3 linked regions of the Nothobranchius furzeri genome follow. The protein of the gene in region 1 interacts with the protein of each later gene in a pairwise test. Links are inferred from orthologs where the notes say so. Each region holds a gene or a part of one and is shown in the gene's direction. Other genes may lie near its edges.

The links.
Region 2: the proteins of esr1 (region 1) and pnrc2 interact in a two-hybrid assay, tested with the Homo sapiens proteins (2 studies listed by BioGRID and IntAct). The link is inferred for Nothobranchius furzeri from reciprocal best matches to the Homo sapiens genes ESR1 and PNRC2.
Region 3: the proteins of esr1 (region 1) and med25 interact in a two-hybrid assay, tested with the Homo sapiens proteins (2 studies listed by BioGRID). The link is inferred for Nothobranchius furzeri from reciprocal best matches to the Homo sapiens genes ESR1 and MED25.

What each region holds. Positions count from the first base shown.
Region 1 is NC_091742.1:2,861,460-2,865,116, reverse strand, and holds part of esr1 (estrogen receptor), read left to right. Parts: intron 1-522; coding exon 523-639; intron 640-1,039; coding exon 1,040-1,218; intron 1,219-1,291; coding exon 1,292-1,445; intron 1,446-3,657.
Region 2 is NC_091745.1:69,954,579-69,958,801, reverse strand, and holds pnrc2 (proline-rich nuclear receptor coactivator 2), read left to right. Parts: upstream 1-1,498; 5' UTR 1,499-1,686; intron 1,687-2,143; 5' UTR 2,144-2,362; intron 2,363-2,562; 5' UTR 2,563-2,582; coding exon 2,583-3,047; 3' UTR 3,048-3,588; downstream 3,589-4,223. UniProt on the Homo sapiens protein: Involved in nonsense-mediated mRNA decay (NMD) by acting as a bridge between the mRNA decapping complex and the NMD machinery. May act by targeting the NMD machinery to the P-body and recruiting the decapping machinery to aberrant mRNAs.
Region 3 is NC_091745.1:8,253,062-8,256,162, reverse strand, and holds the end of med25 (mediator of RNA polymerase II transcription subunit 25), read left to right. Parts: intron 1-1,006; coding exon 1,007-1,171; intron 1,172-1,279; coding exon 1,280-1,400; intron 1,401-2,130; coding exon 2,131-2,166; intron 2,167-2,286; coding exon 2,287-2,390; 3' UTR 2,391-2,573; downstream 2,574-3,101. UniProt on the Homo sapiens protein: Component of the Mediator complex, a coactivator involved in the regulated transcription of nearly all RNA polymerase II-dependent genes.

The sequences.
Region 1 (3,657 bases):
ATAAATAGTCTTGTCTCCTTCTGTCAGCTGAAGGTGTTTCATGATGTTTTATCAGAGGCACCTGGGAAGATTTGTTACTGAGAAGATGAGAATGAGCTTTGCGAGTTACACAGTCGGCTGTTTGCATGTCTCATTATGCAGCGGTGAATTACCTGCAACCTTGAATGAAACATAAGCTGTCAGACCCAAGTGGAGTCGCTGTCATAAAGGGGAAGATGCATGTCATAAAAAAACGTAGTAATCATTTGTTAACTTTTAGTTTTCTTCTGTACGCGACTTCTAAGCATCCACGGCTCTGTGAGCACAGGGAACCGTCCTCTGTTGGATCCAGCAAAAGGAACGGTCATGAGGAAACCAACAGTCACCATGGCAATAACAAAAACCAAGATGCTATGTTTTAATTTTCTCCATCTTAGATCCATTTAGAGTAGGGAATGGAGTGTTCCTGGCTGCCAAATAGCTTGAATCTGAGCTGGATATTGGACTCAAAGAGTAAAACTAATAGATTTCCTTCCTTTTCAGGTCACAATGACTATATGTGCCCAGCGACCAATCAGTGTACTATTGACAGGAATCGGAGGAAGAGCTGCCAAGCTTGTCGTCTAAGGAAGTGTTACGAAGTGGGTATGATGAAAGGAGGTGAGCAGAATAACCAACTTAATGGATTTTTTTCATCACTTTTATTCTTTTTTGCAATTTTATAAATTTGTTGTTAAATTCTGGGCTCATAATTTTGATTGTTTAAGTATTTTTAGCAGTTTATCATCAGATTCTTCTCATAATAGCTGAAAACTAATTGGTCCATCCTGGCTCTGCTCAGTGCTCGATAGCATAAATACCAGAGCGCTGGTGGAAACAGATAAACATGAACTTTAACAAGACCTTGAAAAGATTTGCTTTTAAGGAGTACGAGTGCTGATTACTACGCATCAACGTTTTTGTTTTCATACCTCTCGAATCGTTTAGCTATCTGTGTAATCTGCAAACTAGATGTTGTGGTTCGACAACTCTGAGCGTGTTTGTCTGCTGTGTCTCCAAGGTGTGCGCAAAGACCGGGGTCGCGTTCTGCGGCGTGACAAAAGACGAGGCGGCGACAGAGACAAGGTTGGTAAAGGCGTGGAGCAGAAAGCAGCAACGCATCATGATGGGAGAAAACGCAGCAACAGCAGCCCGGGTGGAGGAGGGAGATCTTCAATGAGCAGTCTTCCTCCGGAGCAGGTGCTGATTCCTCTGGAGAAAACAAGAAGTCTTCTTTTCCATTTATAGATACGTTTGTTCTTTCCGTCTCCAGGTGCTCCTCTTGCTCCAGGGTGCCGAGCCCCCAATTCTCTGTTCCCGTCAGAAGCTGAGCCGACCCTACACCGAGGTCACCATGATGACCCTGCTCACCAGCATGGCTGACAAGGAGCTGGTCCACATGATCGCCTGGGCTAAGAAGCTTCCAGGTTTGAAAACAGAAAGATTTCTCCCTTCACTCAAGGGAAATCACTAAATTATCGATAACGCTTCACAGTAACGTTACTTAGTGCATTAATAAACAAAGTGTCCCTTTACTTAATTCCTGATATTCCATCCATCTTCTGAACCCGCTTTGTCCACGTAGGGTCGCGGGGGGGCTGGTGCCTATCTCCAGCAGTCAACGGGCAAGTAGGCGGGGTACACCCTGGACAGAGAGCCAGTCCATCGTAGGGCAACACAGAGACACACAGGACAAACAATCACACACACACACACACACACACACACACACACACACACACACACACACACACACACACACACACACACACACACACACACACCTGAGGACAATGTAGAGAGACCACGTTTTTGGACTGTGGGAGGAAGCCGGAGTACCCGGAGAGAACCCACGCATGCACAGGGAGAACATGCAAACTCCATGCAGAACGATCCCAGGCCGGGAATCGAACCCAGGACCTTCGCGCTGCAGCTCTAACCACTGCGCCATGTCTTTTAGGTTCGGACAAAGGGCCAGGGGGTGTTTGTTTAGGAATGCATTACTTAATAATAACATTAATATTAAGCAGCTGTTAATACTTTATTTAATAGTTTATTCATGCTTAATAATGCAATAAGTAACATTAATAAAGGCACCCTTATTGTAAAGTGTTACCAAATGATCTATAATTAGTCATAATAATGTAGTCATCCATTTACAACTAATAAACCCAGTTTTAATATCAAATAAAGTTAATATTAAAGATATTTGCCTTTTGTTTTTAGACTGACAGAAGCTTTTCTTTTAGCAAATAAATTCTAAAACAAGACCAGATTTGCACGTTTAGCACCTTTTTCACCTTTGCCGCTCCCAGGCAGGCTGGTCATCTTGACTGCAGAAACTTTTTCCTACAAGAGGAGCGTTTTTCTTAGACCTCTTTCATTTAGCCAGAACAAGAAAGGTCAAAAATGACCCAGACTGGATGTTAGTGAGATCACCACAACCATCTGGTCGCAGTGTGGTAACATTTCAGACTGGTTAAGTATTTTCTGCCTTTTTATTTGATTTTTGTCTAATTAATATTGGATTTAATATCTAGAATTGCTCAGAAAATCTGTATCACATCAAATGATGCAGATTCAGTTAGCTGGAACGACAGCACGCATCCCAAACCGCAGAAAACACAAGAGCAATACAGAGTTCATTGGACTTTTTTTTAAAGGTGTGGATCACTGAAAAAACCTTTATAGTGATTATTTCTGATTATATTTGGTCACTCTGAGTTTTTCATGCAGGTTGAACAAGAAAATAGTCTCCTACACCTATCTCCTGCGTTAGCTTCTGATAGAAAACAGACGGTGAAACTCTAGGATTAGAAAATCCTGACAGATCTACGTCACACTGTTAATTAACATTGATAGACTCACCCATCTTTACTCACGACGGGGAAGGCTGTTGGTTTAGCGTCCAGGAAACAGCCGAGAACGTCTCTGCTAGTAGAAGCTAACCATTAGCATTAGCAACTCCACCACATGGCAGGAATCCTCCAGGCTTGTGTTATTTGTGGAGATAAAACATCAAGGTTGTAAATGGAGTCAGCGGTAGAGTTGCTATTAGCCAGTCAGAGGTGAGACTTTCAAATTTCAGGAAGGAATACTCCAAATCCTGCCGTCTGAAGCTCTACTTGGGTCTGGCAGTCGTCCTGAAACAGGCGCACCAGGGCTTTTTGTACCCCGAGTACGACTTACAAGGCATTCATTCCTACTAAAGACCAGTGCAAATGTATTTCTTAAATGATTGAACCGCACCTTTAACAGTTTCTATATCATTATCATTTTCAATCCTGTAGTTTAGTTGATATGATTATCAGTTTTTGTCAGGTTTGAATGTCCGTGCACAGATTTATTATGTATCAGGTCTTTGCTCTCTGTTGTGTTTTTATTTTATGTCTTTTGCCACCATAACCTTTAGGGTAACAGCGTGTGCACGCGCGCGCGCGTGCGCACGCACACACACACACACACACACACACACACACACACACACACACACACACACACACACACACACACACACACACACACACACTCACACACACACACACACACACACACACACGTAGAGCCATTAAGGTGAAGGTAGTTACAGTCATCACCTTTGAGAGGATTGTTTAGTCAATCTGCTGGCACCCCATAGAG
Region 2 (4,223 bases), on another chromosome or scaffold:
GCCGCTAACATTTTTCAACAACTGGACATCATTTTATTAATTTTCAATAATGTTTAAAGGGATATTTCCAGAGATTAACGGCAAGAACAACCCATTAGCTACATTTACATGCGCCAAATTTCCCCCATCCAATTCAAATTTTGGTTGTTCAGAAATCCCAAATCTCTGTTTACATGGACACTAACTGAAATTATCCGATGCTTTAGATTTTACCTATCACTTTAACTAAGCTAGGCTCAGCGGTACGTAACACCATTTCCTCCACAGAAGAGGGGAGCAGGATAACTTCTGTTCGCCTCCTGTCATGTTTTTGACTTGTCCTGAGCGTCTGCAGAAGCGGAAAAATGTCACGCCAAAGTTGCACACATGCTCAGTGGGCATTACCCCAAGAATCCAAATGAGTGTACATGGACGTCAATTGGAGTGTTGATTGGACAAAATCACCTATCTCAATGGAATTTCATTCCAAATGAGCTGTATCGGATCAGAATATTCCAATTGACATGTTTACGTGAATAATCTTTGATCTTATAGGGCATTCATTCCGATTACTTGTCCCCATGTAAACATAGCTATTGTCTCTTTAAGTCAAACTTACATCGAACCAACTCAAATATAGGCTACATGCAAAAATCTTTGCCATTTTCTTTTATTTCAAAAAAGTATGTGACATTTCTTACTGATACTTCATGGCTATTGTAGGCTTTTTTTTGTCCATTCCCTTGCCAAAAATGTAATTTTGCAATGCTGCAGCTCTCTCAACCGTATTATTTATTTATTTATTTATTTATTTATTTATTTATTTATTTATTTATTTATTTATTTATTTATTTATTCCAAAACACTTTTTTTTAAAACATTCAGGTGGCTGTTATAGCACTCTTAATCAAACCTGGATTGAGAATCTGAAAAAGAGTTTTGGTGAAATAATTGTAACTTGAGCCAACGTTGGGGGATGGGTGGTGTCATAGTTTTCTACAGTCACTGGTTTATGTCTTGTGTTATGGTTATTACATCCTGTTGCAACTGGTCAGAGCTGAAGAACAGATTCAACCCACAAAACGCAAAAAAACAAACAAACAGTGGCATTCTGTTTCAGAAAAACAGTTAAATCTGAAAGGTTGTTGTATTTATCTTGTTGCATAACAAAACACGATTGCGCTGTCGACTTGAAGCTAATATACGGTGTTTTATGTACCACAGGGACACTTCATACTTGCTCTTTTGCTTGTAAACGTGAGATTTTCGTCATCGAGAGTGATTGTTTTGAGTTGTTTTGTCACTTCTCTTAGGAAATACCCGGAAATACCCTAACCATTTCCAACAAAGGAATGGGAGGGAGGAGGGTCAGCCATTGACGTCAGCAGTCTGGCAACAGGCTCGAGCGCGTCCGCTTACCTCTCCTGTAATTGGTCGCTCGGAACGCATTCCCTACGTGATTGGTTGGCTCCGTGCGAGCACGGACTACATAGCTGTGGTGAAGATTCCATTTTGTTGCAATCAGAAACGGAAGGGAGAAGTGGCGTTTCGACGGCCACCGGTAACAGCACACAAGCCTCAAAGGGTGACGGATTTGTAGGAAACATAGACTTCTGTGCTTCCTACACAGTCCACGGAGTGAAATCAGAGGCTAACCACATAAATATTTTCAAAGAAAGGCTTTAACAACCAAGCCTGAGGAAGTCGGTAAGAGAAGCTGTTTTGAGTCTCGTCGCCATGTTGAGTTCCGTTTCTTTTGTTTTGGTTATGTGGCAAAATACAGCGATACGGATTGGGTAGCCGTTTGATTTGTGTTTCTAGCGTTTGTAAATGTGAAATTAGTTAACTAAAGTGCGACTTGCCATATTTTCATCGAACTTTATTAATCAAATTCATCGTAAGTGGTTGGAACAATGATTAATACTAAATGCGTTTTTATGCTATTTTGTGTTTATTTGTTCATTTTTATATCAATAAACCCTGAGAAGTTAGAAATAAGACGACGGGGTGTTGTTTTTGTCTTTGTCATGACGCATTGTGGCGTACACCATTGTTACAGCTAATTAATGCCTTGTTACATAATAAAGACGTGCGTAGCTTTTGTTTTGTATATTATTGTCGCTAGTTTGCGCATCTAAAAAACGCCTTTTCACGCATTTTTAAGGCTCTCGACTTCTTGGAGCATCGTGCGCCGAGGTGAATTGATGTTCAGCTCGGCTTCACGGGAAAACAACGCTCATTGGCACATGAAAACTTCAGACCTTGCTGGACTTCTAAGTGCAGCGAGAAGTAGACAGAGAGCTACTTCGAGGACCTGGGGACCGATCGGAGGTGAAAGATTAAAGAGGGATCTCAGCCACGTCCACTCTCTCACAACAAAGAGGTGAGAGCTGCCTGGCTGGGGGTGTTTTTGCTCTGGGTTGTGTGTGGGGGAGGGGCAGCGCAGCCCTGGACGTCTGCAGCTCCTGCACGTAGCTGCTGCAGCAGCTTGTTTTTTTGTGGAGGGTGCAGTGCAGAGTGCCTTTTACGCAATAACTTTTATTTTAAAAACGAAAATGGTAACGTTTTATAATTGTCTTGCAGGTGACAGGTAGTAGTGAAACATGGGAGGTGGAGAGAGGTACAACATTCCAATTTCCCACCCGGATCGCCCCAAAAAAGCCCATCAGCTTGGCAAGGCTAAGCAGAGAAGCCGTGACCAGAACGGAACCACAGCAGCATCTGTAGGAGGAACGGGGGCCCTTCACCACCACAGCCACCGTCGGAGCGACAAAGGCCCTGCCTACCACAGATCTCCAGAGGCATGGCAGGCCATGTCCTTGGAGAAGAATGCTTCTGTCCGGTTTGCCACCAACTACGAAAGCTGGGAGGGTGCAGTGTCTCATCTTAACACGCTCCTGTCAACCCAGGGCAGCCCGAGCTATGCAGGCCCTAAGTTCAGTGAGCCCCCCTCACCTAGCGTGTTGCCCAAACCCCCGAGTCACTGGGTGTCTTTCCCTATAGCGTCCTGTGACCACAGGGAGATGATGGCCTTCGAGCTCAAAAACCTGCTGAAGGTGCAGGCTTGAGCTGAGTACACACACTTCACCTAACTAGAGCCAATGCTTAGACTGTGACTCTGTTGAGGCATTTGCTCACCAGGAATGCCTCAAAGCTGTAATACACTTAACGTTTTAACAGACATCATCCGTAGCTAAACGTGGACATTTAAAGCAGTGAATTGACGTTGAGTCAATTTCTTTTAAATAGACTTTTAAGCTATTACAGCTTTGCTGCCTTGTTGGTTGGGCATGCCTTAAATGGAGCCAGTTTTTGTAAAACGACGACAAACTGGATTCTTTTTACCTTTTTTTTGTTTTGTTCTTTTTAGAGTTGGCTGTCCGAGCAGATTGAGTGTTCTTTTTTCCCCCCCAAATAGGGGTTGAACTATAGGTCAGGTGACATCCATTACTTTTATGGTCCATTTCTGTGGGCAGCTGAGCTACTTCACTGGTTTTGGTTTTAAGGTTAAAGTCTTTGGAGGGACTTCCAAAGTTTCGGGTGCTAAAGCGAGTTCATGTTTGTAGCATTTTTTTAAGAGCCCCCCCCCTTTTTCTTAGCTAATATATATACCTTGTTTGGAACGAAAAAAGGCACTCAACTGTAGTTCTGCAGGGAAAAATGATATTCTATTGAACGTGAGCTGGTGGATACGGTGAAAGCCTGACCTCGAAGGCTTGAACGAGACCATAGCACATGGACTTCAGACCACCAACTCCTGTATCCCTTTTTTATTGCGCTGTGCGCACACGCACTATAGGAGTTGAGTGTGCCTGAAGTCCGCAACACTATCACAGCATTATTTTGTACAAGTCCTTTTTGATGTGATTGAAAGATATGTGAAGCGCTGGGTAACCAAAGCTTTTTTTTTGTTGACGGCCCCCGTGTGGTTGGCGTGATTCCCACTCCTTTTCTCTTGCCAGCCCCGGCGGTGAATGGGTTAGCATTCCCTAAACATTCGTCTGTTTCGATCAGTACTGTTACTGCCCTTCAGTCTCTGCCTCATCACGACGGTGGCGCAGCTCCCAACGCGCGGAAGAGGGCCTCGTTTTTACGACGGGGTCCAGTTGGGTGCGCGCACGTCTGAGGTGAGGTAGAACCCAGGAGCTTTTCTAGAGGGAAGCAGCTCAAGGGGCGTAACCTATAGCAACGGAGATGATTTGTTTGTTTTCAAACGTCGTCCCTGACCGACCATCTGATAATCC
Region 3 (3,101 bases), on another chromosome or scaffold:
AGACTCAGAGTTGAGTAGCCCTGATCTAAAGGCTCAGGAACTTTTTGCAGATGTTTTGGATTCTTTAGCTGGTTAGAGTGACTCTTTGAACCCACAGCATTGAACCTGTTCACAATATTCTAATTATCTGAGATTCTGAATGTGGGGGTTTCATAAGCTGTAAACCATAATCATCACAATTATAGCATAAAGACGTGAAATATCTGGCTTTGGATGGAACGAGTCTGCCTCGTATATTAGTTCCAGCTTTTAGGTTGAGTTCCTAAAATGAATCAACTTTGTCACCTTATTTTATTTTTTTAGTTTTACTTATATATATACATATATATATATATATATATATATATATATATATATATGTATATATATATATATATATATATACATATATATATATATATATATATGTATATATATATATATATATATATATATATATATATATATATATGTATATATATATATATATATATATATATATATATATATATATATATATATGTATATATATATATGTATATATATATATATATATATATATATATATATATATATATATATATATACATATATATAAAAGCTTATTAAACATTTTTGGATCCAGTTATATGACATTTAACAGCTTCTCATACACGCAGTACGTTGCTCGTGGCGCTGCAGTAGGTCTTCAGGAGACGTTTCCATTCAGCTGATTAGAAACAAGCTCCTCCTACTGAAGCAGCTTGTGTTTCCTCTGCTAAGTTTGGATCAAGGCTGTTAGGTAAACACAGGTAAAGCAAACAGTGAAAGAAGAAAGTGTTGGAAAATGAAGTCGAATACACATAAAATTAACAAAAATCTTTGTTTCATAATATTTGCGAGTTAAAGTTAATGTTTTTAACGGTTTAGATGGTGGTCTGCTATAAAGACTTTATTGCAGCGTTGCTCCTTGGTAGTTGTGTGATTCGTGTCGGTATGGGATGCTAACGAGCTGCAAGATCTGATGAACTGATTGAAATGTTTTTAGATGACGATGAGAGCAGCCGGACCAGCCAATCAGCAGCCAGCGGTTAGCGGAGCTCCGCCCAATCAGGTCACTCAGAGCGGACAGCCTCCGGGTTCCATACTTCGACTTCCGAACCCCGGAGCCAATCCACAGCTTCGCAGCCTCCTCCTGAGTCAACAGCAGCCAGTAAGAACAGCTGCTGGAGTTTACTTCTTTGTTTTGAGTCATGATTTTTTTACTCTGCGCTTCTACGGGCGAAGTTAACGCTCCGCTTATGTCTCTGTGTCCTTGCAGCAGAATGCGGTGTCTCACATGCCAAACATGATGTCCCATCAAGGCTTAGGACAGCAGCTGGTCCACTCGGCACCAGGAGGGGGGGCTCAAATGCAAGGCCAGTGGAGGCAGCCGATGACAGGTCAGCAGTTCAATTAAGATTTTTCTGCTTCAGTTGCAGAAAGATTTCTTCTTCTTTTTTATAATCTTTGGTTATTTTTATCGCTCCGTTTGCTCCACATATACTTTACTGGTCGCATAATCCTAATATACTCATGAACTGTAAAAGCTGTATTAGTACTGGTTTGTTTATATACAGATTTAAACATCAAAGCAGCCAATCTAGCTGCCAGGTTGGTTTATGTCACGTAGGGTTGGGCGATACGGCCTGAAATCAATATCACGACATATTGAGCATTTCACCTCGATAACGATAAATGGACGATAACTACAGGTATGCACAGAAACTTAAGTAGTCCACTAGATGGGACTGTCACGTGTGTTACGTTGAGTCACATTTTTAAGGTGATACAGCTTCTTAAAGGGACCTGAACGTTGCCAACCCACACACATCTTTTCATTTTTTATTATCAAATGTATTGACATGGGAAGAATTTTGATAATGATACATTTTCCATTTACTGCCCATCCCTATAATGTGGTTTGGCTGATGATTAGCTACATAGTTTTATTAATAAAAATTGTTAGAACAAAGAAAATCAAAACACTATGAAAGATCTTTTCTGCTACAGTTCGGTTATATTCTGTTAAAATTATCATTTAATTATTTATTATTTTAGCATCTTTTGTAAATGGGGCAGTAGACGCATCTTCAATAAAAGAAGCCTTTAATAAATTCTTGTGTTTGTTAGGGATGGACGTTCAGGCAGCAGAGGAAATCCTCGCAGGTCAAAAGCTGGTTTAAAAATCCTTGAACATATTTAACGCACCATGTCATGAGTAAAACTCTGGGTGTTACGCGATACAAGCGGGGCTTTTGAAAGAATTGTTTGTGTTTTTCTGTGCAGGTCAGATGCTGATGTCCGGAGGTCAGAGGGGACCCGTGCCCCAGCCCGGGATGTCCCAAGTCTCCAGTGTGATAGAGGAGGAAATGCTCATGGACCTGCTCTGACCAAGCGTGGTGGACTCTGTAATATAATTTCTCGTCAGTTCCGAGCAGCAGTTCTGGGCTCATAGATCTGTTATTTCTTTTATTTTTGTTTTTGCTACAAATATTTGATATAAGTAAGAAATAAATCATGTATTTTCAGGCTTTTGAACATCAGCTCTCAGCTTGAGTTAACTAGGAACTTGAAAGTGTGTGTGTGTGTGCGTGCGTGCGTGCGTGCGTGAGTGTGTGTGTGTGTGTGTTATTTTTCTTTCATGTAAGTGGTCTAAAAGTGGGCCGCGGATCCTTTGTTCTACCAGCTGGACCGGACCATGGAGAACGGTCCATTAAGTCTCTATAAACTCAACTCATCTACAAGTTTTACATCCCAACATTAAAGTGAAAACTGCTGTTTAGTTCTCTTTTATTTAAAATGTTTGTTTTTGTCCTTTTGATCAAGGTGAAATAAAAATTTCTGTAATTTCTTTGTTTAATTATTCATCAAATTAGTTTGAGAATCAAATGATTGAATGAATCTGGATAACGGAGCAGAGACTCGGTCTGCTCTCTGCAGCGCCGTGCCGGTCTTCACGCTAAGCCTCCACGCTCCTGCTGCTTGTGCTCTAAAGGTAAGGATGGATACTGAAATAGGCACAGTAACAAAGAGTTCAGTGTCTGTTTCTGCCAAACAGTGTTAATTTTAACTACTCCCAATATGTCGAGGAACCATAGAGG